Linked DNA regions of Mus musculus: all the other regions are reported to be linked to region 1. Evidence: microRNA targets listed by miRTarBase, many of them from high-throughput screens and not tested one by one. Region 1 holds a microRNA gene; each other region holds the end of a gene's coding sequence.

Region 1 (7,119 bases):
GCTGAGGAAGAAATGAGACCCTGTCTCAAGACTCTGGGCCAGAGCTATGGCTCGGAGCTAGACTCGTTGCTTAGCAGGGACTGACTTTCCCAGTGGCAGTAGAAAAGGAAGGCTGGGTGTAGTTCATTTGATAGAGTGCAGATCTGGCATGCACCAGGCCCTGTGTTCTCTCTGGACATGGTGGTACAAGACTAATCCCGGCACTTGGGAGGTTGAGGCATGAAGACCAGAAGTTGATCCTTAGCTACACAGCAAGTTTGAGGTAACCCTGGACTATGTGAAAGCTTGTCTGGTCTTTTTTTTTTTTAATTAATCAATTTTACATGTATGGGTGTTTTGCCTGCATGTATATCTGTGTGCCACATGTGTACTTGTGGAGGTCAGATGATCCCTTTGAGTTATGACTGGCTTAAGTCACCACGTGGGTGCTAGGAGTCAAACCCAAGGCCTCTGAAAGGGCAGCCAGTGCTCTTAACCACTAAGCATCTCCAGCCCCATGAGACCTTGTCTTTATAAACAAAAACAAACAAACAAACAAACAAAAACTAGTTGGGCGTGATGACCCACACTTGTTATCCTAGCTCTTGGGAGGCAAAGGTAGTTGGATCTCTGAGTTTGAGGCCAAGTGGGGCTGCAGAGTGAGATTAACTGCACCCCTTCACATACACCCCCCCCCAAAAAAAAAACAAAAAACAAAAAAACTGATGAAGCTGGGAGGATTCAGAGCCAATGGTTGTAGGGTGGGAAGGGAAAGGGCAGGGTCTGGCTGCACAGATACACACTCTGCCCTCTCCCCACACCCAGGCCCACCAGCGCTGATGAGCATCATGAAGAACTGGTACTCCTTGTTCACCCCAGTGGAGGCGGTCACCATAGTGGCAGTGACAGGCACCACGCATGCCACTTTGCTGCGACTGCAGCTAGATACAGCTGGGCGAGAGGAGCTCTGGGCTTGTGCCCGCACCTTGGCACTGCAGTGCGCCATGAAGGATCCCCAGAACTGCGCCTTGCCAGCCCTGACCCTGTGTGAGAAGAACCACGCGGCCTTTGAGGCTGCCTACCAGATTGTGCTGGACGCTGCAGCCGGTGGCCTCGGCCACGCCCACCTCTTCACGGTTGCACGGTATATGGAGCATCGAGGCCTGCCTCTGCGGGCCTACAAGCTGGCCACGCTAGCCTTGGCACAACTCAGCATTGCCTTCAACCAAGACAGCCACCCTGCAGTCAACGATGTGCTGTGGGCCTGCTCCCTCAGCCACTCGCTGGGGCGGCACGAATTGTCGGCCATTGTCCCTCTCATCATCCGAAGCATCCACTGTGCACCCATGCTCTCAGACATCCTGCGACGCTGGACACTCTCAGCACCCGGGCTGGGCCCACTGGGGGCCCGCAGGGCTACCAAACCACTAGGGACTGACAGGGCACCACTTTGTCAGCTTCTGGATGCCGCAGTAGCCGCGTACATAACCACCAGCCACTCTCGCCTCACCCACATTAGCCCACGCCACTATGGTGACTTCATTGAGTTCCTGGGCAAAGCTCGAGAGACCTTCCTTCTGGCACCAGACGGGCACCTCCAGTTCGCACAGTTCTTAGAAAACCTGAAACAGACGTACAAGGGAAAGAAGAAGTTGATGCTGTTGGTTCGGGAACGGTTTGGCTGAGGAACTGCAGAAAGCCGGGAGCATGGGTGTCCCAGGCCCACCTTCCTCAAACAGGAGGCCCATGGCTACTTGCAGTAAAGTTACAGAGGTGGGAGGCAGAGGGTGACATCATTCCAGGTGTGTGCCTAGGAGTGTGCAGACAAACGGGACATGCGATCTGAGGATCCGAAGCCATACTGCTAACTAGACCCTGCAGGGAGTATGTGCCTGGGCACCTCACACGGAAGAAGCAAGCTCTGGCTCTTCCAGACTCCCAGGGTCAGCTGGGACTTCCAGGAGAAGGGCTGGGCCAGAGTGAAGTTAGGCCTCCAACTCAGTGCAGCAGATGCTCCAGAGCCGGAGCTGGCCGGAGCCTAGGCACTTCACATCAGGGTAGTTACTTCCCACTGTGTTTCTCCCCTCTCCACAGCTCAGGGCTCCTGTCCCACTGCCCTGCGCCCCCAGCCCCAGCTTTCCAGCACAAATGCCTCACCCCACTGAAGGATATTAAGAGGTCTTGGGCCTCTGCCACATACCTCACCCCCAAATACCCTTGTCAAGCCAGGGCCTGTCTTCTCTTGGGCACCAAGGTCACAGGGTAGGCTGGGGACAGCTCTCTGCTGGCCAGACCCCACCACTAGTAACTGGATACACAACTCAGGAGTCAGGCTGCCCTCCAGCCTGTTGTGGGAGGCACAGGCAGACAGCCAGGGACCCCGTTCTGTCTTCCTCTTGCTCTGCACCTCCATTTGTTTCCCCACTCCCTTAGTTTCCCCATGTCTGCATCTCTCTCAAGTCCCAGCTGCTGACAGGCCTTCCTGTATCCCAGGCCTTGGCCCAGGGAGGAAGAGAAGGGAGAGCCTCCACCCCAGACGCACCTGTCTTCTCTCTTGTATATTAAGGAAAAAGTTGGCATCATTTTGTAACTTTTTTTCTTATTTATTGAACCCCATACTGTATTCTTTTCCTTTTTTTTTCCTTTTTTTTTAAAAAAAAGATTGAACACAACTTCTTTTTAACTTCAAGACTGGGTTGCATTGCTAACACAAACACCCGGGGCCAGGGGTACCTACCACCTGCTCAATTAACCAAAAAATTTTCCATCTCGGTTTTTGGGCACAACTTGAATGGGACAGGAGAGGCTGCTGGTTTCTTCATGGCATCGTGGTGACACGAAGAGCCACCTCTTGCTGGTGGCTTTACTGCTTTTCCATCTGCATGTCATAATCTCTGCAAGTCAGGAGGCTTAAAACGCCCAAACCTAGAGTCTGTAGGTTTTTGGAAAATGCACCCAGATTGCACTGTCCTTCATTGCAGGAAATGACCACCAGGGGGCGTCTGGCTCCAGACAACGTCATTCGGAGCTCCGGAGGTCTCACCAGGTGCGGAGGGCAGCTGGGGACGCCTGTGTCCCCAGTGACCTGCCCATTGCATTTTTGGGCTGTGGATGAGACTCCCGTTCTTAGATGGATTCATCCAGCGGACGGCCTGGGCATTCTTCTCATTCTCCGGTTCTTTATGTCCTTAGCTGTGTCTGACAGGGTCATTGTTTAGGACCGTTCTCTTGGAAGCTGTGTGTGTGTGTGTGTTGCCTCTGTGGGGCACTATGGGAGCTGGCTGTGACTATGAGTGTGGCCATAGTTCATGGTGCGTTCCTTTGCTCCAGGGAGCCGATCAGAGGCGATCCGCCCCTTAGCCCTTCTGGCGCAGACGGGCGCGCGCGCGTGCGTGCGTGCGTGCGTGTGTGTGTGTGTGTGTGTGTGTGTGTGTGTGTGTGTAGACGGGCGCGCGCGCGTGCGTGTGTGTGTGCATGCGCGCGTGTCTGTCTGTGCTCGCATATGTGCCCGTCCTTAAGCCCTGTGTGTGTGTGTGTGTGTGTGTGTGTGCATGCGCGCGTGTCTGTCTGTGCGCGCATATGTGCCCGTCCTTAAGCCCTGGCATCTTGCCAGTCAGTGCATCCCAGCATAGGCAGAGTACATTCTTGTAACATACTCCCTCATGGAACTGGGGTGACCACAGATTGGTCTCATACACCCCAGGTCTGGGTTATCCCTCCCGTTCAAGCCATCCCCAAAGGATCCCAGGATCTTCAGGTCGCAGCACCTACTGACCACAGAACTATATTTACACCTTCCTAGAAGCAGGTGGAGCAAGGTTGGGGATAGGTGCAATGCAGGTTAGGAGCCCAGGGTGTGGTAGATATAGTGGTGCAGCTGGTATTCCCAAACTCCAGACACTGGAGGAGTTTGATTCAAGGTCAGCCTGGTCTACACAGAAATGCTGTTTCAAGAGAAATGAAAAAAGCCAGCAACACACATGTGGGAGGCGGGAATGAAGAGACGTCAGCCCTTACGGAATGAGGCTGTGGAGCTTTTATTTAGTTGGAGAACAACATTCAATACAAGCTTTCAACTCTGTTCTTCCACCCAGGCTTCGATTTGCCCCTGCCCAGAGTAGGGAGAGGACACTGTATGGTCTGGGAAGTGTAACTCAGCCAGTTCCAATTAGTCTGCATGCAGTCTCATTTGTGGGTAGTAGGCAACTTTTTAACTTCCAAGCCTGGAGATTACTTCAACAGGCCAATGGGGGGGGGGGGCATGGATCTGTTCATATCCTGAGGCCTGTGTGGACCTCGCTCCCTGCCTCGCTGTCACCAGCAGAAAGCTGCAGACCCCATGGGATTGCTAGGCACACTGGATCAGGTCAGTGCCTTCTTCCGGAAGCAGAGAGTTGGCATTTAACCGTTAGAGGGCCTAAAGCAGCTTCCTCTTGGGTAACTGACTTCAAAGATGGTATGTATAAGGGGTGGTGCCTGAGCCCCACCAGACTTAGGAAAAGAAGGGCTTCCAGGCCCTGAGGGGACATAACTGGCTTTTAATGCAAGGGTTACCCGCCCATCTATCTGCTTTGGGGAACCACAGAAATCTCAAGGTGGACACCCAGATGCAGGCTTAGAGGCTGAGCCTCCAGCAGACAACGGGGCTTAGGTTGGACTAATTACCCCATTGTTTCCAGGTCTTGCTCACGGCAGACATTCTGCAGGGTTGCCAGCTCCTAGGGGGCTGGACTCCTGTTCCTGCTGAACTGAGCCAGTGCACTGGAATCAACTGTTTCAGCTCAGTAGGCACGGGAGGCGGAGCCCGGAGAGAGGCAGAGCCCTGCCAGCCAGGAGGCAGAGCAGGGTGGGCAGCAGCGGCCTGAGGAGATGGGGTCCAGGGGGCGGAACTTAGCCACTGTGAACACGACTTTGCTGTGGACCTTGCTCACAAGCAGCTAAGCCCTGCTCCTCAGGCCAGTTGTCATGATAGGCTTCTCTGTTACCCAGTACCCAAGACAGACATCCTTGGCGACAGGAGCCCCCAAGGCAGAGCACAGGGTCAGTTGGAAATCCCTGGCAATGTGATTTGTGACTGGCATCAAATCCCATCCCCAGGAACCCCAGCCGTCCGAGGCACAGTGAGGGGGGCAGCAGGTGGGAGCGGAGTGTAGCACCTAAAGAGAGAAAGAAGAGACAGTGAGATTGGAGCATTCTTGCTTGCCTGCCTATCTTGACCAGGCTGGGTCTCACATAGCTGAACACAAGGTTTCCGAATGCACCAGTTCTTCCTGCCTCTACCTCTGGAGTCTAGGATTATAGGTACACCTCACCACACACAGTTTAAGTGGTGCTGGGGACAGAATCTAAACTCAGCTTGCTGATCCACACCCTAGCCCTCCTCTACTTCCAAGAGGGAAGAAGCATTCCCAAAAAAGAGGAGCATCGATCCGTAGGAAGGTTGGAGCGAGGCTGCTGGATGCTGGGCACCCAGCAGTGCCTCTACCCCAGCCCTACAAAGCGGGAGGTGCCTGAAGCCCTAAGGCCAAAGGGGCTGCAGAGCCTTCCCAGCTGCTTCCCACTCTGCTTCTATCCCCACCCACAGCCCTGAGCCCAAAGCAGGCCAAATGGGGCCATGGAGAGGAAGCTGAGGGAGGTGGACGGTTGGAGGGAGGAAGTGACCTCACCCCAGCTGGCGCCACTTCCTAGAAGCCTGAAGGGCAGGAGGAAACTCCAGGGCCTCCCACCTCAGCCCTCTCCTCCCCAGCCAGCTCAGACATAACCCCACCCCCACCCCACACCACCTAGGGCCCAAGCAAGGAGAAGCAGGCCGATGCACCCCAACAATAACACCTCAGTAAAGTTTCCCCTAGGCCTTCCAAGCCTCAGTTTCCCCATCTGTAAAGCAGACTACAACAGTTGCAGTTGGTGGCTCACGTTTATCTCAGCATTGAGGAAACTGAGGCAGGAAGGTTGCCAAGAATGGAGTCAAAAGCCTGCTTAAGCTACATGATGAGTTTTAGGCCTAACTGGGCTACAGTTTGAGACCCTAGTCTTAAATAGAAGAAAAACAAAAATAAAACAACAAAACCCCAAACCTTCTACTAGGAAGGCCAGTGAAAACTTACAGAGAAGGTATTTAGCACCCAGTACCAGGGCAAGCCACAAAATTTGGGGCCTACCCAATGTAGAGTAGTGTCCTGCGTGCCAGTTAAAGTTTTCAGGGGCCAGCAAGCTGATCCAGCAAGTGAGCAGAGCTGCTATGGAGCCCAATGCCCTGAGCTCAAACCCAAGAACCACGAAGAAGAAAAGCATACGGACCCTTGCAAGTTGTCCTCTGATCTCTGCACTTGGGAACACACACACACAATTTTTAAAAATTGTTTAAAGAATTTCAATGTTGGAGAGATGACAGGTTTCTTTCCCAGAACCTACATGACAAGCACAGCTATCTATAGCTCCATTCCCAAGAGCTCCAACGCTCCCCACTGGCCCCTGTGGGTACCAGGCATACATATGGTGCACAGACGTACGCGTAAGCAAACATTCACAAACAGACAATAAAAATAAACTTAAGAATGGTGGTGCACACTGTTAGTCCCAGCACTTGAAAGGCAAAGGAAAGCAAGAACCAGGCCTTGGACAGTACTATCTCTAAGAGTTCAAGGCCAGCTTGGTCTGTGTAGGGAGTTTCAGACCATCCAGGGCTACATAGTGACACAAGTGACCTTGTTTCAGATAAAGAGCTGACTCAGTGGTTAAGAGTGGCTACTGCTCTTGCAGAGGGCCCGAGTTTGGATCTCAGCACCTGTCACAACTACCTGTAACTCCAGCTTCTGGGGATTTCACTCCCTCTTCTGGTCTCTGAGTGTACTGCACTGTCATGCACAAAGACCAGACAACACACACACACACACACACACACACACACACACACACACACACACGTCTTCTTTATAAAACATCAGGGTCGGGCTGGTGAGATGGCTCAGTTGGTAAGAGCACCCGACTGCTCTTCCGAAGGTCCGGAGTTCAAATCCCAGCAACCACATGGTGGCTCAAAACCATCTGTAACGAGATCTGACTCCCTCTTCTGGAGTGTCTGAAGACAGCTACAGTGTACTTACATATAATAAATAAATAAATCTTAAAAAAAAAAAA
Region 2 (7,119 bases), not on the chromosome of region 1:
AATCAGCAATCTACCACTTGGAGTTGAGCAAAAACTGAGCCCGTGGAGGCTATCAGGAGCCTTATGTGTTATTAAAGATAACCTTGGCTGACTAGAACATCGTGCTGTGGAGAAACTATTGTAGATGGGAAGCCAAAACTGCCTCAAGCGTAGCTCTTTTAATATTAACTTCAATCTGGTTTTGGTCTAACCTCATGAGGTTGGGTGAAACTTGTAAGCTTTGCTTAAAATTTTATTTAACTACATGTATGTGGATATATGCATGAGCACTCAGGTTCCAGCAGAGGCCACAGGCATCACAAACCCTGGAACTGGAAACCACACCCTTGAGAGCCACCTACTCAGGCCCTCTGAAAGAACAGTACATTCTTATAACTGCTGAACCATCTCTCAAACACCTGCCCCCTTTACCGATTTTAAAGTAAATAATGTTGTAACATCTGAAAGCCAGGCAAGATGTAGCCAATTTTATCTAGGCTGTGTACATAATGCCCTCATCAGCGTAGGTGGTATATGTATTTGATGTATGGTCTTTGTTTTGTGGCTATAATAGTTCTTGCAACTGCTTCCACAACTTGGTGTGCCAACCTGAATCCAATCTCTGGCCATGGCCACTCACATTTTGCTTGCATTTACTTCCTCAAACTCCATTATTAGGTATTTTCTACCAAAATGGTGAGTTTAAGCCCACGACAAAAATGTACATACACTAAAAAATTGTTCAATCAATGATCTATCATAAAAGGTCAGAAGAAAATTTGATAGGAAAGAAAAGCCTGGATGTGGTACTATTAAAAGCCATTAGTGAATTTTTAATCTTCCAAAAGTGATGTCTATTCTAGTAACTTTAATCATAATCAAAAAGAAATTTAAGAAATGAGAGGTAGGCTATATAACAAAATATTATATAGCACTGGATATAGTTTTAGGAAAGACACAAATACCTATTTGGTAGCAGGTTATCAGTCTCTTTAAAGTAGATTACCTCACTTAATCTAATCCCCAAACCCATTCCACATCTAGACTTCATCACGGGAATACTTCGGATTTAGTAGTCACGTGTTAAATTCTTTAAAATCTTTTAGAATAATCTAGTAAGGATCACCACGTTATAACCTGAGGTGTAAACCTTGTTCTGGAGAACATGGAAGATGGGCGGAGCCCACATAATCTATCTCAAAATCACTGTCAACCTTTAACCACTTACTATTCCAAGATGGTTTGTTTGTGTTTTGCTTTGTTTTTTGTTTTTTGGGAAAACAGTTAAATTTTATCATCTATATACAACTGGTTTAATATCAATTGTCAAAACATTCTACATCTAGTCCATAGGATATTTAAAAATTAATACCATTTTACAATCTTCGAAGTAGAAGGCAAAGGCCACATCTTTTAAAAACACGCTAGGCTACAGGAAATAGTTGCTAGTATATAAATATGAAAGTAACACAGCAATAGCTGCATGTAACAGTACATAATGCTCAGTAGTGGACCCTAGACACTTTTCACAAGGGCCCTTCATTCAAAATGCAGTACCTGAAGCTCCAAATGAAAAGTAACAGACATTCAATAAAGCTGGAAGCTGGGCAACTGAGGGTCTGTCAGAGCATACATTTAAAAATGATTATTCTTTCCTATGACATTGCTCAGCAATGAGTAGGTCAACCACTTGCTCAGATTATCAGGACAAGGGGAAAGACTTATGAATTAATTACTTATATGGCCTTTCTCCTCTCTAAACTGTGTTTTGTATTCAGAGAAAGAAAATTAGCATAAGTCATTTTAAGTATGAAGAAATGAAAATGCCACTGCTTTTATATTACAAGGAAATGTGACTTATCTACTGAGCGAGGAAGAAATCAGCTTCATTATAGAATTGTTAAAACATGGCTCAGTACTAAGAGCTCCTCCTGCTTTTGCAGAGGATAGGAGTTGGGAGTCCCTCGCACCATCAGGTAACTTATAACCATCTCTAATTCCAATTCCAGGGGATCTGAGACTCTAGCCTCCACGGGCATGGGCCACATGCACCCACATGCACACACACACACACAATTTATACATACTTAAAAATAATTAAAAATATATACTATTTAAAGACAGAAAGACTTAGCAATTGACACAGTTCCAGTTAGGAAATGACAGGGTTGTGATTTACCTCAGGCCTTCTAGTTCAAGAACTCACAATCTGAATCATTATGCTACTCTCTTTGAAAGTTACTAGGACCAGAAAGAAGGTATTCATAAATTAGGACAGAAAAGTGATGCAAGAATAAAATATAAAAGAAAGTAAGAAACAAGTAGGGGGGTTTCGTTTTATTTTATTAAGTATATGTTCCAAAACACTGTAGCTGGAACATGTCACTAAAATTTGCAAAAACAAAACTAGGAAACACCGGCATAGTACATAATGAATACTTTTAATCCTGGCTATCTTAAGCTTATGTAGACATAATACTTTTATAATCTATTTCCTTTTATAGTAAATGAATGAAGGGTAAGTAATACTAGAGGACTATTGAATCCTGGACTCTGTGACAGATGAAATATCCTCATGGAGTTATAAAGGGGCCCCAGGAGACAAGCAATCTACAAGCAGACCAAGTTAGTAGCGGTGGGTATTTAAAATGTCATGAAGATAACTGGAAAACACCTTCAGACACAGTTCATACTTTAATGAACATCACAAGACTGAGCACAAGATTGTGAGGCTGGGAATGTATCTTTTATGGTGGCCTCTTAGTCATGACTTTCACCTTTTTCCACTGTAAGCAAAGGATAAGGGGATGTCATGATATGTGACTTAACATGAAATAATGCACAGCAGCCAGACAGCCTATAAACATAGCAAGAGAGACAGGCTCTTAAATCAAGTCTTAAAGTCTACTCCACATCAGAAAACTCACACTGAGTAAAGAGTGATAAACGTTTAAGGATTGTGGGAAAATCCTGTAACATTTTACATTTAATCAACAGCAGAGAATTCAAACCGAAGATAAATTTTCACTAGACGCAGGAAAGCAAAAGCTACCAAACACCAGCATGATATAATACATACGCTGTGTCTATATTAAGTACCTCTTACTGTAATGTTTCCATACAATGCTACTTCATACTGTGTTTAAAATAATAGGGAAGTAATACTAAAGACAGTACAGAGTTTTGGTTTCTGTGGAAAGATGTAATAACCGTATAGAAGATAGAAAAGGGAACTGGGCGGTGGACAGAAAACCACCTCAAGTGAATAAAGAACCCAAGACCTTTAGGCTGTAGGCATCAGAAACACCACGAATGAGAAAGCCATTAGATTCAATAAAAGGAGGTTTTAAGAGCCACTTCCTTAGGAAAATCTTCAGATGTACTGCATACACAAGGCATCAGAAAAAACAGGATGGAAATTGAAGACAGTGCTTAGATGGATCTTTCTAACCACTCTAAATACAATAGCACCATCTCCACGTCACAATAGTCCCCTACACCCTGCTAAGTGTGTTATCACTTGGCATACTGTACATTCTTCCTCCACTAAAAGCCTGTAACAGGAGGGTGTTTATATCCTCAGTGCCTAGGACAAAATATGGCATGTTGTAGGCACATATTAGCTATTGAAAGGGTCTATTATAGGCTTATTGTTATGTGGAGTATTTGTTATTTTGAGGTTACTTCATTCTAAATAAAACAATTTACTCATCAAGATTAATACCAAAAGATGTATTTTCCTTTTATAACACCACAGTAGAAAGTACTACAACTATTATGGTCTATAAATTGCTCTCCAATTGTTTGGGGTAGGGGAGTAAATTGTACAAAAAGCACCCAGAAATACCCTCATAATTGTATCAACCAGTGAGCCCCCAAAGGTCATAAAGGCAAAAATGGAAGTTCTCAGCTTGTGAAGACAGTCTTATTTTCTCAGGTTTAGTGTCCAGGTAACACTTGACTCCTCCGAGGAAGACATGCTCCCTTTTGCTATATCAACCACTGGTATAGAGGGCATGGCAGTTTGGAATGCAATAGCAGCAACCGTCTTGTGCAAAGTTTGGCATTTCAAATCATGCCTCATTAATTCAGAAGACATTACTACCTACCATGCAATGAACAGTGTGTGCAAAGATAAAATTTTAAGATATGGAGTTCGTTCAGTAGTAAGAAAAAAAATTACAACACATTGTACTGTGGTGACATGTGAAAGGAAGCGAGAAAATAAAGGAACATCTAATTTCTACTGGAAAGGGCTGAAAAAAGCCTTTAGACACAGTATTCCTAAAGGTACGTCATACAAGTAAAGTAATTTATCTGGCCACAAAGACCAGTCCAGCAATAATGACGTCTACAACGGTACTATGGTTGTAAAACATAAGTGCATTTGGGAAAGGGAGTGGAAGCACTTGATTAACTGATTATGATCCACTAAAGAAATCTGTGCTTCTAAAATTCACATTAAAGATTTAGAAAGCTACAATATTTTCCTAATAAAACTTGCTAAAATGCTAGGTTACATAAAAATCTTGGCTGTATAAAGACAGGCCAAGAGTTGTGGCAGGGATTGTGGAATCTCCCTTGGCTTCCACTGCTTATTCAGAATTCTGTTTATCAAAAAGGAACCTCGCATTTTAATGTCTGAAAACCGTTGGTCTAGAACACAAATCAGAGTGTGTGCAGAAATAAGGATGGAAAGTAGGCCTTCTATTTGCTTATTTGGAAAACATACAAAATTGGAGGGAAATGAGGCAGAAAAGATTTCCATAAGAGATAAAAATTTGTTATTTGCTCATATTGAACTTAAAATGACCATGCAGTCAGTATTTGTCAAAGTGAAGACATTTAGCAGTCAATTAAAAATGAAATTCAGAGAGCAAGGAGAGTGGGGTTCCAGTTCCTGGCATGGAAACCAGCCTAACATTATAGGTGGCATAAGCCATGATGGCAGTGAGAAATACTGCTTGCCATGAGTATTTAGAGTAAAGAGAAAAAGAGAAGGAAGAGAATGAAACTTTCATGAGGACAGGCAGAAAATGAGAAACTACAGGAGAAAGAAGAAATAACAAAGATCAGTCTTCAACAGAAATTAGGCAAATTCTTCTCCTTTAAAACAGAAAAATGCATAAATAGAGTTGACTCCCTCATAATCTAAACTTCCTGTGGAAGAGCAAGGGTAGAGGTGACTAATGAACTTTGACTCTACCATGGTGGGAAAAGGGGAGGCACCTTAGTAGCTTTGCAGTTAGGATTGTTAAGTGAAGTCAATGTGTAGCAATACACTTTGAAGGATTGCATGCCTTCCATAAAACTTAGTCTCCTAAGAATGACTGGCTGACAAGATTAATGCAGTGCTGAGAGCCTGCCAAGGATGATGCTGCCAAGGAGATAAAATAGGAGAGGAAACAAGGGAGGCCAGTATTCATGTGATGATGCCCCATGAAGTAGGGGGCAAAAAAAAACATGAAAGAGGTCGCTGTTCAGGAGTTAGAGCAGTCTAGAGAAGCCCGTGAAAAGGTTGAAAGCTGTAGAATGAAAACAGAAAAACCAATGAAAACAAAGAAATTTTAAAAGCTGAAAAGAAGAGAACTGTCATCAGTTACTAAAATGTAAGACTTCAGAAAGAGAAACTGAGTGTGGCTCATGCTTAGATTCAGTTACAGAAATGACAGGAATGTGAAGATGTCACTGGGACAGAAGTCTAGTGCATCGGAAGACTTGAGGTAGGCAGAGAAAGGTGAGCAAGACAGCAAACTAGGCTCTTTGGCCTTCAGCATTTCAGTCTTACTGAAAGGCAAAATATGTGTAAAGTTCATTATATGCAAAGATGTGCCCTACAAGCATCTGAACTAATGGTGGTCTCATCTATACTGAATTTACCTTCTTTTTGGAGTAACCATGCAGTTTTTGTTTTAAATAAAATAAAATAATTTATAAAATGGATAAGTAAATTAAGTATTATTAGTAATGCATGGCAAAATAAATAAGTTTCATCTTTTAAATCCTTTGTTGTTTAATTACTGGAAATGAAATCTAAATATTAGTCACAATATTCTAATTGCCTACATTTATAGCTATACTTTATATTTGAAACAAGGAGAAAACCTGATTTCCATCTTTGAAGTATGCATACTTCAAAATAAGGAGATTCTGTGTTACATATATTTTAGTACAATAAAAAATATAACCTAAAATATTAGAAAACAACTGTCCATCTACATTGGGTTCCTCCTTACCAGTGGCAGGTTTATATGTAGTTCAAGTTCAGTTAGAATGGCATATATGCCATTCTAGAAATTAGAGAATATTCTTCACAGACCTAAGACCACTCAGGGAAAGGTGACAGCATTAGAGAAGCGTAGTGCACTGGGCACCTTTATGTAGTGTAACCGTCTCAAGATCAGTGTAGTACATCTCCTTTGTCAAAGCCTTCTTCCCCACTTCAGCATCTTTATGTATTTGAGTTGAGACCTAGATGAACACCTAGCTACAGCGCTGCTGAAAGAAACTTAAGATTTGCTTTGCGTTTGCGGTGTTCCACTCTTGCTCCTTCAGAGGTCCTTCACACACCGACACATACTTCTTCAAAATTTTTTCTCCTACTTCTCGGAAATCCAAGGTTTCTTTGTGTGTGGTGCAGCTTGCTCCAAAAACATCAGTATCAACTTCATGGTTTTCTGACTGCTGATCTGTGCAGTGCTTTAACCCCCAGTAGCACATCTCTCCACTGTACATCATAGCCAGCACATGGATGTCACTAAAGACTCCTGGGAAGGACATTTAGAATTCAGTTCTTACAACACTAATAAAAGCTCTGACAATAAACCTTTGTCATACCACTTACTAGCTTGGAGAAGGCCACTCTCACTAGCACAGGCCTAACTTAGTCAGCACTTCTCTTTTTCCTAGAAGCGTTCAACCCCCAGACAAAGCACACTACTGTCAAACAATTTTAAAACCATTTAAGTGTGCGTACTTAACATTTTAGGAGCCTCTTTTAGGGCCTTTTTTGAGAATTAATTTCACTGGTAGAGCCCTTCTAAAATAATACGTTAAATTCTGTATACTATACAATTCTAAATTATCACAGATGATGATACTCCAAAATGCTTTGTATTACTAGGAAAAAAAAAAAAAAAA
Region 3 (7,119 bases), not on the chromosome of region 1:
GCATCTTTCCAGCAACTGTGTGAGCTTACAAGTGATCCTTGCTCAGCTGAGCCTCCCGATGAGGACCCCAGCCCTGGTGGCTGGCAGTTCGCTTGCATTTTGCTAGCTAGCATCCTTATGCAGTCCTAAAAGCATAGAATCCAGCTAATCTTGTGCCCAGACTCCTGACTCACAGTCACCGGAAGGCGACAAATGTGCTGCCCTCACAGAGACTGCCTTTGTGGGGGAGATGTGTGCAGTATCATACCTTAAATAGAGTTCACAGTGCTAGCCCGGTGAGTGCTTGGTACTTGATGATAAGGACAGGCGTGCAAAACACCACTTACTCTCCACAAGGGTGGAGGTTAGAATAATTATTGTCATCCCGTTTCCTGTGTGAGCGGACGCTCAGAGGGGTTAAGTGTCTCACTCAAGATGGCTCTGCTGGATGACAGTGCCTGTCTGTACGCTCGGGCTTTTATGGCAACACAAAGCTATAATGCTTTGTGCTCCGTGTGCTTGGTGGCAGACTGCTCTGGTCAAGAGACAGGCAGCCATCTCTGTCGGCTTTGCAGAGGGGAGTGACGACTGAGCTAGATCTAGAGAAGCTCCAGAATTCTTAGAGGGTACAAGGAGGGGCGAGGGCAACCATTCATTCCAGGTAGAGGGAGATTTATGCAAATGAGACGTGACATTGGATGTGGGGGTGGGGCTGAGTGCCCCTGGAACACCGGAGTGGGTGTGGCTCTGACTTAGCAGGTTGGAATCACTGGAGTCAATCACACAGGGACATTTTGACCATCTGGATGCTGTCCCCCCCACACCAGGGGTAGATACTATCCTGTAGGCAGGCTGAAGGTGCGGGGCAGGGGGTGACTTATTCATGTTTGTAGTTTAGACAGCTGCTCTAGCTGGGGCTGGGGTGCCAGGGAAAGGATGGGGTAGGGGGAGGTACAGCAGTCTGGGAGGACAGACCCATGCATTACATTAGGAAATACTGAGAAGCCAGGAGAAAGGGGGCCTCACATTGGGCTGGCTATGCGGTCTGACCAGAGGCAAGGAAGTGAAAGGGGTCTTAGCCTGAGCCCTCAACGAGGTGAGTCTGTGTCCAAGAGGAAGGCTGAGTGCAGTCCTTTCTGTGTGCCCTCAGCCTCCTTCCCGCAAGCCTCCCAGGCTCAGCAGGGAGCAGATGCCCCATCTATTGCAGAATGAACAACTGATAGACATTTGCCCATCTATTGTGTTCATGGTGTTCTTAGGATGCCCCCCTGCCCCACCCAAGAGTGGAGCAGGGCAGTCTGAGATGGAATGTGAGTGAGGGTCAGCCTGCATCCCACCCCCACCCCCCAGGATTGTGGAGTTGGCCTTGGGAAATAGATCGATCCTGGAACTTGGGCCAGCCCTAACTCTGGCCTCCATTAATCTCTGAGGTCTTTTCCACATTGTCCTGGCTGGAAGCTGTGGGTATGACTGAGAGTGTTTGGTGCATCCTTAACCATTGGTGTTAGTTGACTCCCATCACCGGCAGTGCTGACAGACAGACAGACAGAAGAAAGCAGACAGATGGACAGCTGCTGTACAAGGTCTTTTTCTTTGTCATCATGGTTGGTTTTGTACATCATCTTAGCATTTGCATCATACAAAGTGGGGAGCACGGCCATGGCTTTTGGTCAGGTTCAAGGGAGTTCGGGGGGCGTGGCCCTCCCCTCCCCCAGAGACTGACACATTTAAAGGAAGCAGAGCAACAAGGACACAGCACAGTTGTGGGAAAGAGGTTCCCCTACATGAGCAGGATGGTCCATCTCACCTGGGTCTCAGTGGGACTTCCCACTCCCATCCCGGGGCCAGCAGGAGCACCTCAGGTCTCTCTCCCTGGTGAAAGGGCAGGGCATTAGGAATGGGGACTAGAGCAGGGGACATTGGCCGGGAGGCATCCCCCATGGGAGGGAGTCTGATCCCCAGGTCTCCCAGTGAGGTCAGGGGCTGGCCAAACCACAGGAAGATGGAAGGGGAGTTGTGGGTGGGCAACTCTGCTCACTTCATAGTGGGCACTCTCGGGGCTGGAAGCCCCATGCTTAGCCCCCCTTACTCTAGCCATGGGCCTTTAGATGGCTGGTTTGCTCACCAGCTCTGCCATGTGTGAGGGGTCTCTGGGCTTCTCGTTCCTGTTCTCATTTACCTACCTGGGATGGCCTATAGAGCTCCTACTTCCATGGAAGGAAGCGCTGTGGAGCTTTGCTGCTAAGGGCTCACTCTCTGGAGCTGAAATGGGGGACATGTACCCTGGATATCCTGTGTCATCTTCACAGAGGCCCAGAGAAGCGCTCTTTCTTTTCACTGCTGGTGATTTCCAGGTGTAGGAGCCTGATGACCTTCCCAAAGAGCACACATGCCTGTCAGTGATGTGCCTCATCCCACTCCAGCCATCTTCCATGCTGTGTGTGTGCATGTGTGTATGTATGTGTGTGTATGTGTACATATGTGTGTATATGTTTGTATATATATGTGTGTATGTATGTATATATATGTGTGTGTATATGTATGTTTATGTATGTGTATATGTATGTATATATATGTGTGTGTATATATATGGATGTATGTATGTGTGTATATGTATGTGAGTGAATGTGTGCATGTATGTGCTATGTGTGTATATGTATCCTTTCCAATGCTCAAGTACCCAAGTTCTGCCCTCCCATGCATGTGTGGTACACAGCATCCTTCCAGGGTTGCCTGTTGTTTTCTCCCTATAGCCCAGGCTATGTCAGAAATATCAATCATTACATCTCCCTGGGCTTTGTGTGGGTGGAACCAGGTATGTATCAAGTAGAAATTCTCTTACCTCCACCTTCAAAGGACCTCAGAATCTGCTGTCTGGGCATAGAAAGGAGACATAAATCTAGACTAAGCCAGCCCCGCCTGGGGGGCACTGGGTGAGGCTGAAAAGCCCTGAGCTCGCTCTGGGCTCAGAGGAGCCATGGAAACCACCAAGGACTTCAGTTGAAGGGTCTGGGCTCTCTCAGGACCATTCGGGTTCTTGCGTGGCTGGGTTTCCTTGCCTATTTGCATCTCTCCAGGTCTTGGTCTCCACTACCCATCTGATGCTTTGTACTGTGCCGTTCATTACCTTTGAGGTCTATCTGTGAAGGGTTAGGCCTTTAAAACACTAGTGTCCTTCCCTGCCTTCAAGGTGTGTGTGAGGGGGTGGGGGTTGGGGAAGGGGAAGTCACACTCAGGGTCTAGGGAGGCCCAGGGCCCCTGGACTGGTCCCTGCCTGTCTCTGGCCCAGGACCCCAAGGCTCTGAAGAATGACCATCCTGCCCAGGATAAGAAACAGAAACAAGCAGACAATAGGGGTGCAAGATGGCTCCCCACCACAGACATAGACACAAACACTAGCCCCCTGTGGGATGACACAGGGGCCCAAGAGGGTGGGGGTGGGAGGAGGGTAAGTCCCGGGAGCTGGAGCTGCCAAGGCCCTGCTCCTTAGAGGAGGGAGAGACCAGGGGACTTTTCTGGTTCCCTACACATATGGATTGTTTAGTCTTATCTTTAAAGTATTGCGGTCTAACTGATATGGCTTTAACTATTGGAAACGGACAGGGAAGACGTCTGTCTTCTCTGAAATAAAAGCGTAAGTCCACTAAAATGGAAAACCTGCAGAATGCAAACTGGGGCCAGTGGGACAGGGGCTTCGGGGGAGGGCAAGTCGCCCCCTCCCGGGCCCCTGCTTTTGGGATAGGCCCTGGTAGGGGCCCAGCATGGCTTCCTAGGGTACTGCCTGGGTCTGTCCCAGTAGCATTCTGAGGACCTCAGGTAGGAAACCCCCAAGGGTGGGAGGACTCTAGGCCAAAGTAAGGTTTCCTGTCAGATGTGGCCATCTGTGACTAACCGTCTCAGGGTGGGGAGGAAGCATCTTACTCCAATTCTTGCTCTCTGAGAAAGAAGTTGTACGACTTATGCATACGACTTCCTGGTTTAGACCCACACACATGAACACCAGTCTTAGCCCACGTGACAGTTGTCTCAAGCACACATGTCTACAGCTAACATGTAACCTGTCACTCTTGACACACATGCCGTTTTGCAAGTACATGCATATACAAGCTAGCACATGCAATCTGAAAGCACACGAGATGGCTAGCACATACCGAGAAAATGAACTGGGACTCAGGCACACTACATCCCACAAACACATATGCACGAGGCACATCAGATACACAGCCTGCAACACAGAGCTAACACACACACATGCAATCTCAAGACACAGTCGCATCGAGATGTAGGATGGGCCTGCCGTGCATTACCCAGTGTGTGGGGACTCACACGCTCATCCCTCATTTGCGCCTCCCCCTCTGTCTCTCCATTTCTCCACAAGTCACAGAGCAGGAAGCCTTGACAAGGTGGTACGTGAGGACACATACCAGTCCTATACATCCCAGAGGAGAGCTGACCCTTGGCCAGTGGGATGAATGGACAGTCTTTTGTCAGGTGGCAATTGGCTTCTCCCCAGCTGTTTGGGGGCTTTGGCCAAGAAGAGTCCTCCTGGGGACAATGGGGACTTGGAAGCACATGGACAGGACATGGAGGGAAGGAGGGTGGACAGGAAATGGGGGCAGTTTGGATGTGCCAATGAGGAGCCTCATGGCACAGGCCACCACTGCCCGATGGCTCCAAGTATTTTCTGGGGGTCTGGGCAGCCCCTTGGCTGGGCAAACTCGGGCCTAGCCTGGCAGTGGGGTCCCAGGACCTAAGTCAGATGAGAGAGAAATAAGGGTGTTGCCCTGCCCTGGGTTCCTCCACAGATGTGCTAAAGTCCAAAGAGGATCCATTTGGAAGGAGTGGCTTGGCCGGGGCCGTGCTTCTTTAGGTCGGGTTGGGGAGAGGTGTGCTCCTGGCCAGCAGCGGCACCAGGAAGAGGAAAAGAGGAGAGCCCAAGCCTCCTGCCCAGATTCTAACCTGGCCAGACCCAGCTAGAGCCTCTCAGGGCTAGGCTCTCCAGGACAGGCTCCCTCTGAATAGCCTTCCTGGAGCCAGACCACTCAGTGCCTCTGCCCTGACCTGGACTCCCACTGGGGGGTTCAGAGGCCAAAGGTCAGCATGCTGGGCAAGGCTGGAATGTGTCATTACTTTGGCTGGCTGGGGACAGTGGTCCTCCTGGCAGTGGGGAGCATGAAGGAATGTATGGGGGGGAGTGTCACCACATTAACATAGACCATGGGCTTCTTCTGGAGGGACAACCAATGCCTTTGGCTCTGGGTTCAATGCCCCCTGCTAGAGTAAAGCTATCTTCTTCTTCTTCTTCTTCTTCTTCTTCTTCTTCTTCTTCTTCTTCTTCTTCTTCTTCTTCTTCTTCTTCTTCTTCTTCTCCTTCTCCTTCTCCTTCTCCTTCTCCTTCTCCTTCTCCTTCTCCTTCTCCTTCTCCTTCTCCTTCTCCTTCTCCTTCTCCTTCTCCTTCTCCTTCTCCTTCTCCTTCTCCTTCTCCTTCTCCTTCTCCTCCTCCTCCTCCTCCTCCTCCTCCTCCTCCTCCTCCTCCTCCTCCTTCCTTTTTCAAGCTACTTGGGAGTGAAACAGGACTAGAAACCCTGGGATGAAGGGTCTGTCAGGGACTGCAGAGGGGAGGAGTCCCTGACTAGGGTAAGGGGGCAGAGGTCGACTAAGGTTTTCCCCTTTGGAACTGAGACTTAACTGAATAAAAAGAAAAGAAAGACTAAGAACACCAAAAAAAAAAAAAAAAAAAAAAAAAAGTCATAACGTGGAAGGGGCCGGAGGAGGATGGGTTACTTCTTGAACATGTCCTGCAGCGGCCCTGGCAGATATTTGAGCACTGTGTCCAGGATGCTCTCCTCTTCCTCCTCCTCCTCGTCCCCACAGCCTGCAGGGATGGCCTTCTTGGGTCGGGTCAGGCTTCCCTCGCAGGGCTGTTCCAGGGCTGCCTTCTCCTCTGCCTCTTTCTCTTCCTTCTTCTTCAGCCCATACTGGGGGAGAGAGGACAGAGAGGGGCATGAAGTCAAGTCAGAGAGAACAGAAGGTTGGCTGTGTGTCTCATCAACACGTTTAAGCTCCCCCGGGAAAGCTGCCTTCCCTGGAGAACTGAGCCCAGTCTTTAGCAGGTGACTGATATAAAAGACCAGGACGCTGCCGTTTCTTTCAAAACTCGCACTTACCAATAATACCCCTTTATCCGTTTGAAATCCTCAAAGTTCTGAATGTTGAATGTCTTCCTACGGTCTGAGGCACATTTCTGTGACAGGGCTGGCTGGCTGATGGAAGGCTACCTGTGCTCTGCAGTGTGATGCTACTAGACACTAAATGAACGGCATACGATGGTGCGCCGTAGCTAGCGCTGCGTTTTCTACGTGCTTAGTTATGTATAATCCTTGGGGGCACTGTTGCGAAGACACTTGTTTTCCTGATGAGAGTAAGGCTCGGGGAGAATCAGGTCTTAGATGAGATCTGGGGTTTAGGGGAGTCAGAGGTGGGGCTTGCAAGGGGTGCTGACCTTGTCTCGGATCTGCTGCCGGACCTTCTCGCGCTCGGCTTCCATGCGGGCGTGTTTCGCCTTGCGCTCTTCCTCCTGCTGCCTCAGGGCCTCCTGCCGCTCCTCCTCCTTCTTCTGTGCGTCTGGGTCCTTCTCCTCCTCTCCCCCCAGCATCTTCCCCATGTCCTTGGTGGCCCCTGCAGGGATGTGGAGTGGTAGGAGAGGAAGGGGGCGTGGTCAGTGGGGCAGGGAAGGCGGGTGGGTCGAGGGTGCGTAGGGGGTGGGGGTGAGGAAAGGTGGCAGGCTCACCTCCGAGGGCTTGCTTCATGACGAAGTCCATCCTGCAGGCTTTGGTTAATGCTCTCTAGCCCGTGGCTGAATTCGCATTCAGCACTCCTGGCTGGTCTGCCTTTGGGAAATGAGCCCACCTGCAAAAGGGGAGGTGGGGTCAGATGGAAAGGTCTCTTCCCAGGTAGGGTGTTAGAGACTGACGCAGGGCAGCCTTATTCTTGTTCTGACAAGGGATCACCAATTGAGAGTAAGGCTCAATGTCTTGAAGGAAGAAAGAAGAGAGGTATTTATTGAGACTGTATTATGGTCCAGGTGTGAATCTGCAATTAAACAGCTTCTCGTTCCTATTCTGTATTATGTTTTAAGGA
Region 4 (7,119 bases), not on the chromosome of region 1:
CTTTCTCATAGACTGGCACAGGTGAGGGCGCCAGTGAGCCCTCAGCGTTGCAAGCGCGCGATTGTAGGAGCAAGAAAAACAGGCTGGGGACAAGTTAATTATCAAACAAGACATTCATTCCAGGTTGGGTCTAAGTTCCTTGATCTTGTGATCCAGAGGTGTGGCACTGGTTTCTGTGTGCACCATGAGAAGGAAGGTCATGAACGAAGAGCAGGGGACTTCACTGTGTATGTAAGAACAGAGAGAGAGGACTAGCCAGTCTAGCTGACCAAGACTTCAAAAACAAGATGCAAGACAGATGACCTGTTCCTTAGCAAACAAGATTGTCACCATCTAAGCACTGGGAGAAACATACTACTCTCTACTTGGTCTGCTTAAGCTTTGTTAGTCTATGACAAGAGAATTATTGCTTTGGGGTGGCAGTGAACTTGTGGAGAGAAAGACAGATGAGGAATGTAGAGTTAGGTCAAAGTTCCAAAAGAAGGATATGCAAGCAGTAATCCTGTTGTAATTTCAGTTTGTGTAGTGATTTTAACATGTTTTTCAAAAGTGTTTTGTGGTGACCACTTTTGGGTACAAACGAGCTGAAGGAGAAAACAAAGTTGTTGGAGCTTGCCTTGCTTCAGCCACTCAGTGTAGGATTTTCCCATCATTCTCTAGTCCTTAGCACCACAAGCAGCAGCTCCAGCGGCAGCTCTCTGAGCCGAATCCCATCAGCTCCACCATTGCTGGGTGAAGGGCAGGGCTCTGATATACAAGAACAGGTTCAATCACATAATATTACTACTGAACAATGTTGCTTGGTGGCTTTAAAACTTGGGACAAATTTGAGGGGCCCAGGAAAAAGACCACCTCATTTATAAAGATTATACAGGGCTTCTGAGAAGCCTTCACTGATTACAAAGATTAGTCTCAGCTGTGAAGGAAGCCGTACCAGATCAAGATGAAGGCAGGTGTTGATAGAGGCCTTAGTTGTTGAAAAGGCGAATAACCAAATGCAAAAAAGTTATCGAAACGTTAAAGGCTCGAGCAAGCGTCTATGGCAGAATGGATAAGGGATGTGATCGATATTGGTTCTAATGTGTACCACGCTAATAGAACAGGCCAAGCTAGAGCTAAAAATCTCTGACCTCAAAATACCCACCCAGTGCGTTAACTGGGAGAAAGACAGTACTTTGCAGCAGAAGAGTGAATCAGTCATTTCTAGAGGCAATGGTTTTCCTGAATCTGAAACAGGACTCGTAGGCTTCCTGCAATGTGTATGCACTTTGGCAAAGGCAGCCACTGGATTCCGGAATGCAGATCCAAAAGAGATATTCAAGGAAACAGCCTTGGGGGCCTAGCTTAGCTCCCCACCAAGCAAAGACTGTGAGCTGTTCCAGTCAAGCCATAACACGCAGACTAAAACCTGCACTCAGCACTGGAGATCTAACACCTCTGCAGGCAGTGCTGCTCTAGACTCGGCCACAGAAAAGCATTACTCTATATCCAAAACTTCGAGAGAGTTCGTGCTCCTTTGCCTGCAGAGACAGTGGGATGATCTTGAGAATAGATGGATTGATTCCCCAAGGATTCACTGTGCACCCAGGAATCATACATGAAGATTTCAAAGGAGAAATTAAAGTTATGGCATGTGTGTGTGTGAGGGAGAGGGAGAGAGATGCAAATTAATGCAGGTGATAGAGGCTTGTTCGGCTGCTACTGTTTCCCTGTCCCAGAGACAAAGCTGCTCCAGTAGAGAGAACAGGAGGGTCTGAAAGGACTGAAAAGCATGTGTTCCGGCAAACAGTTGTTAATGATCAGAGGCAAATATTAAAATTTCACATAAAAGGTACTGAAGTAGACAAATTTGTGGATACAGGCGCTGATGTAACTATCAGTTCACAAAAAAATCTTGGAATTCAGAATGGCCACTTTGGAAGGTTTATACAGTTTCTAGGAATCGGAAATTTATCTCAGATAAAACAAAGTGTGCAATGGGTGAAATGTGTGGGACCAGAAGGTCTAACAGGAAAGCTAAGACCTGATGTGGCTGATCTACCCATCAGTCTATGGGGAAGGGCTCTGACCGACCCATCAGTCTATGGGGAAGGACTCTGACCGACCCATCAGTCTATGGGGAAGGGCTCTTCTACAACTGTGCAGTGCTCAGATTAATATTCATGCAATCCTACAGGACAGGCAGTTGTAGAAAGATCTCATTTTACCTAAAGGAAATGCTTATAAAGCAAAGAGAAAAAAAGAGACAATTACTCTCTGCTAACTTTAAATTTTCTGAATATTAATGAGAAAGGAACAGCAGCAGTTGAGATACTCTGGGTTTTAGAAAAAAAACTGTGGAATTACATCAGCCTATGTACTGTAGAATCTCTTATTAGCATCTCTTGTCAATAAAAACCACCAATGGCCAATGAGCTGAAGCAAGAAATAGGAGGTGGGACAATGGCAGGAAGAGAGGATTCTGGGAGATAGTGAGACAAGGAGGAGGTAGTGAGAAGGATGAAGCAAGCCGGGACTGAGGAGAAGTAACCATGAGGATGACATAGAAGAGTTTGAATGGGTTGAATAGGTTACGAGCCAGTCATGGATGAGGCAAGGCTTCTGGCCAAGGCATTTAATAATAAGGAGTCTTGGAGTGGTCATTCCTGGAGCAGGGGCCGAGAGGAAAAACTGAATTTTTTACAATATAGAATAAAGATGTGTTAATATTAGAACAGAAAAGTTTTGCATTGGGGATGGGGAATTGTTTATACTTCCACAGGAAACGAAAAGCTGTGGATACCATCAAAACTGATAAAGATTAGGACCGAGCAGGAGAGGTCTCCTCAACACCTTGGCACTAACCTGAACACTCAGTTCCTTGAAAATGTCTGTTTATAATTTCCTGATATACACAGCACAATTAATGACTTAAAACAGAAGTGGGGAATCGTGGTGAGAACTCTGGAATTCTGGTTTCTTTAAAAAACAAATATAAGAATATGTTATCATTTTAGTCCCCAGGTGTGGGGATGTGGGGCTGCTTTGGAGTGTCGGCAGCAGCTGACATGATTTGCCTAGTGCTCTAGCAGAAGTGTGGTTTTGCCAGCTGCAGACAGTCTCTGGCATTGTGTCAAGTTTTGGAATTCTAGGAACTTTTCAGAAAGTCTATAAATGCTAGGCTCCCAAAAAGCAGGATGGGTGGTTGTTGGTTGTTTGGGAGTTGTGTGTGGTTGGTTGTGGTTTCTTCGTAGTGTTCAAAGAAGAAAGGAATTTAGATACAGGGGTGTCTCTCTTGATCTCGATCTCTCTCTCTCTCTCCCTCTCCCTCTCGCCCCCCGTTTTTGTCCTATCTAGTGTCAAGGAGTGAAACTGGGAGAGGGAGCAAAGGGTGAGAAAATAACCCACAAAGTAGCAAAGACCAGCTACACCCAGGTTCAATTAAATCCCCAGCATCCACATGGAAGCACACAGCTATTTGTAACTCCAGCTCCAGGAGGATCGGATTCCTTCTGATCTCCTGAAGCATGGGGGACATGTGGTGCAAAGGCCTGTGTGAAGGTAAAACACCCATACGATTAAATTACATCAAAAGATCTTCAGGGACATCGAGCGGCCCAGTGGTGGGAGACACACAGGAGACAGTGTGTCTGCTACTCACTACAACCCAGGACAAGTGGAGAGGCAGGACAGACACTGCACCTACTACACAGGATACAAGGAGAACCCCTGCCTCCCCACTAAGGAGCAGGTCTGCTGAGCTGAGCAGGTCAAGGAAAAGTGGAGTTAGGAACTGTCCTTTTCTGGACGATCATAAACCACAGACTCTGCAGAGTCTGGGCAGGCTGGGAACTTAGTGAATACCACATTTTCATCCAACATTAGTGAGTAATTTAAAAGTCTGCTCCATCACCGACAATGAGAAACCGCAACTGTCTTTTGGAGAGAGATGGTTCACTTTCCCTCTATCGGGAAGACAGGTTTTCATGGTTAAGGAGACCCAACATGGGGCTGGGAGTGGGAAAGTCCGGAGCCTCCTGACAAAGCTTCCCAAGTTGCATGTGTTATGCAACCAAACACACTTGGCACTTGCACATTCCGTCTCTCCAGCTCTTCACCTTTCTCTACAGCAACCCTTCCCTGATGGTCATCGGGAAGCAACTGGCCACTTAGGAACCCTCCATCTTTTCCCTCAGAGCCAAGGCTTCAATTAACGTGTTCTTGAGTCCCAGCCCCCCAACTCCACTCACACCACCAGCTGACATTACCAGCAAGTCATGACATTAGCTGGCCACATTCAAGACGTGTCTGAGAGCGACCCTTGTCATAGAAGAGATGACCAGTGCAAACATGGGCATGAGGCTCCACAAGTGCATTGCTCAGGGCGGGCGAGAGCAGCCTCCACCCTCCAGCCCAGGGCATAGCTCACAGGAGGCTGCACAAGCGTCATCGTGTGGGAAGAGTAAGTTTCAGTGACAAGTCACTGGCTCCCTCATACGTCAGGGTCCTCACCATTATGTCTCTCAAGTGCACTGAGGCCAGGGCAGGGTGAAGCAGTCATCAGTTTCCCTACACAGAAGGTGGCAGGAAAAACAGAGGAGAAACCAGTCCGGGAAGAGAGGGGTGTTCCCAGAGAATGCAAGCAGTGAGAAAAGACTCGAGTTCCAGAAGTGTGAGGAGGGCCAGGAAGGCATCAAAAACCTTTCCCACTGACAGGCCGGCTCCTAATCCAAGGTGGGCAAGGCTATGCTTATTAAATCTGTCCTCAAGTGACATGCTTGGGCTGTTTGGCTAACAGAGACTTGAATGTCCACTGATTTCTAGGAAACCCACCTGTTGCAGTATGTGCTACCTGAGAGCAAGCCAGGGTGGCTGCTCAGATGGAACGCACATCTCCCATGAGTAAAGACCAGACAAACCCACATTCCAGAGGCCATTCTGGGATCGGAAGCAGGGTCACGTTCATCCCACAGGCCCTGAACAGCAGTGCCCACCACTATTCTACAGAAGACACCGGCTCTGTGTGGCTCGTGTCTGTCCTGTATCAATTGTCAAATATCTTGCATCAATATGGCAGTGGTCCTGACAGGTAGGGAGGAACGGGCAACACGGGGTGGCCCCCGACACCTAAGACCTTCAGAGAAGGACTAGATGTTTCAGCGAGTCTGAGGGGGAGCAAACTGTGATCGAATGATGTAGAGCCTCTTCAGCCAGGAGAGGAAGAGAGCTCACTGTGTGTGTGTGGTCTCTGGACAGAGACTGTCCCAGCTCACTAGTCACAGTCTGGGCACAAAGGAAGGGGAGGTCTACACTTGCTCGGGCCAAAAAACTCATGATAGTTTTGGAACATAGAAAATCACACATATACTTTTAAACTAAGTATCCAAAGTGATGCCACCGCTTACAGCTCATTTCTTCGTGTGGCTTTTACACCTGAGCCAGAACTTGTCAACCAAAAGAAACCCATGATTAGGAAGTCACATGGCTGATGGCGGTTTGGGTCCACCGAGTGGATGATGATGGTTCTCCCGACTAAGGCAGCTAAGGGACATCCATGAGCACTCGGGTCTCTCCAGGGTGTTATAACAATGTCACCACGAGAGGTAGCAGCATCAAGTCAAACAGTTCACACAGAGCAGCCGCAGCAGCCCCGATCCACCTTCCTTCCTACAAACAGCTGTCAGCAAGACTTTCCTAGACTTAAAAAAACAGACCTGGAACAGATCTCCAGGCCTGGAAACCTAAGTGCTTCCATAGCAAGTTAGGCTCCTCTTTCTCTCGTTCCAGGGAAAGATGCTCACACTCCGAGCGCTGCTGGCTTCCCCTAGGCCTTTCCTGACATCAGCTAAACTCCTGCTCTCATGCTGTCCCCGCATCTTCCAAGGACTCACAACGTTATGCCCACTGCTTCTGGAGGTGATGCAGATGACCCCAGGCCAGAGGCAGCTCACTGTGGTGGTTGCTGTTGATGCCTGGATGGTGGAGCTCAGGCAGCAGACCTGCTACTGTGTCTGCCTGTCCAACATCCCCTTCCCAGGCAGAAAGGAAACCAAGGCACAGGCTGCTGGAGAGCCTGCCCTTGTCCTGCCTCTGCCACTACCCCAGGCTATCGTTCGGAAGAGGGAATCCTCTGTGACAGAATGGACTCGTGTGGCTTACCAGGCCAGCAGAGTATCAGAGAAAATGTCTGAAAATGGAAGCTGGCTCTTTAATGATGGCAGCTCTGAAGAGAGAGAAGGAAGAGGAAAGGAGGCAGCGGGAGGCGGCCCCACCATGACCCGACTGGCGCCTGGCTGCTGGTATGTGGGTAGCTGGATGTCCTCCAAACGCACACCGGGAGTGACTGAATGCTTCCATGTGGCATGGCTTTGAGATGACCAAGAACGGGGCCAGACTCAGCTCGGCTTCTTCCCGGAGAGACTCGCCATTTTGTTAAAACCCAGAACTTCTCCGAGGCACCTCATGGTCCAAATCTTCCACTCAGCAGAGACTCTCAGTTGAAGGGGCTGAGAAACAACGTCACAGTGAGACAAAGTGCGCGCTCTTTCTCTCAGCACTCCGAAGATGCTACTTGGATCTGGCTGTATTTTAAGTTCATTTACAAGTAGACTAATTCTCAACTAAAAATAACCACATGTGTTATACATCCCCACAGCTGCCTGGATTTTCCTCTGAGGGAAGCAAGATTCTGTGTTCACTCATGTTCAGCTCAGATCTATTTTAACCCATTCAGTGAAGAAGCTGCCACACCATGTGCTGGTGGGCACGACTCCGAGGAGCTCTCTGCTCCTGGAACAACCTTGATAGTACCCCCATCCTGCAGCTGAGCTGAACACCAGGAGCAGCAGCCTGCCCGGTTATGTGCGGAGATAAAAGCAGGGCGGGCCAGCTTTCCTGGTTCCTGACTTGCTTGTTTTTTAACAAAAACTGTTATCAGTATCAAGACATTGGAGTTTTGCCTTCATTTCTCTGATGATTTAAATGTAAGTAGTGTTTGGGCCAAAATCAGTAACTTATGCACTGCATTCCTTTAATGTAGGCAAAGCCACCTCCAATTTTCTTTAATAATCTGATTATAACTGATCTATGCTGTTATTATACAGAGAAATTTCTTTGCAGAATAAGAAAACTGTCATGTTT

Evidence for each region. The annotated mature microRNA mmu-miR-24-3p reads UGGCUCAGUUCAGCAGGAACAG and lies in region 1 at 4,714-4,735, opposite strand. An mRNA with a match to its seed (bases 2 to 7 or 8) in the 3' UTR can be bound and repressed. Matches are read on the target gene's strand: a 7mer-m8 pairs with bases 2 to 8, a 7mer-A1 pairs with bases 2 to 7 and ends in A, and an 8mer does both.
Region 2: miRTarBase lists AW549877 as a target of mmu-miR-24-3p. Seed matches in the 3' UTR shown: 7mer-A1 at 5,617-5,623.
Region 3: miRTarBase lists Cplx2 as a target of mmu-miR-24-3p. Seed matches in the 3' UTR shown: 7mer-m8 at 2,943-2,949.
Region 4: the mRNA of Slc4a8 is a reported target of mmu-miR-24-3p. The part of its 3' UTR that is shown has no 7-base or 8-base seed match.

What each region holds. Positions count from the first base shown.
Region 1 is chr8:84,206,491-84,213,609 of GRCm38, reverse strand. It overlaps Mir24-2 (microRNA 24-2), which reads right to left and starts at 4,795; the gene lies at 4,689-4,795. Zswim4 (zinc finger SWIM-type containing 4) reads left to right here. Exons shown (of 14, transcript NM_172503.3): 14 at 805-2,668. The coding sequence ends at 1,664. Mir23a (microRNA 23a) reads right to left here and starts at 5,092; the gene lies at 5,018-5,092. Mir27a (microRNA 27a) reads right to left here and starts at 4,938; the gene lies at 4,852-4,938. It also overlaps Mir3074-2.
Region 2 is chr15:3,979,734-3,986,852 of GRCm38, forward strand. It overlaps AW549877 (expressed sequence AW549877), which reads right to left. Exons shown (of 6, transcript NM_145930.3): 6 at 2,302-6,746. The coding sequence ends at 6,463. Among named protein-coding and RNA genes, the nearest start is that of Fbxo4, 3.7 kb to the left of the region's middle.
Region 3 is chr13:54,378,350-54,385,468 of GRCm38, reverse strand. Cplx2 (complexin 2) reads right to left here. Exons shown (of 4, transcript NM_009946.3): 2 at 6,770-6,888; 3 at 6,482-6,657; 4 at 1,552-5,957. The coding sequence starts at 6,800. The coding sequence ends at 5,760. The region is part of intron 1 of LOC115488208 (a long non-coding RNA gene); the gene reads left to right. Among named protein-coding and RNA genes, the nearest start is that of Cplx2, 11 kb to the right of the region's middle.
Region 4 is chr15:100,814,985-100,822,103 of GRCm38, reverse strand. Slc4a8 (solute carrier family 4 (anion exchanger), member 8) reads right to left here. Exons shown (of 25, transcript NM_021530.2): 25 at 1-6,485. The coding sequence ends at 6,473. It overlaps Gm41401 (a long non-coding RNA gene), which reads left to right and starts at 6,472. Exons shown (of 3, transcript XR_875664.3): 1 at 6,472-6,962.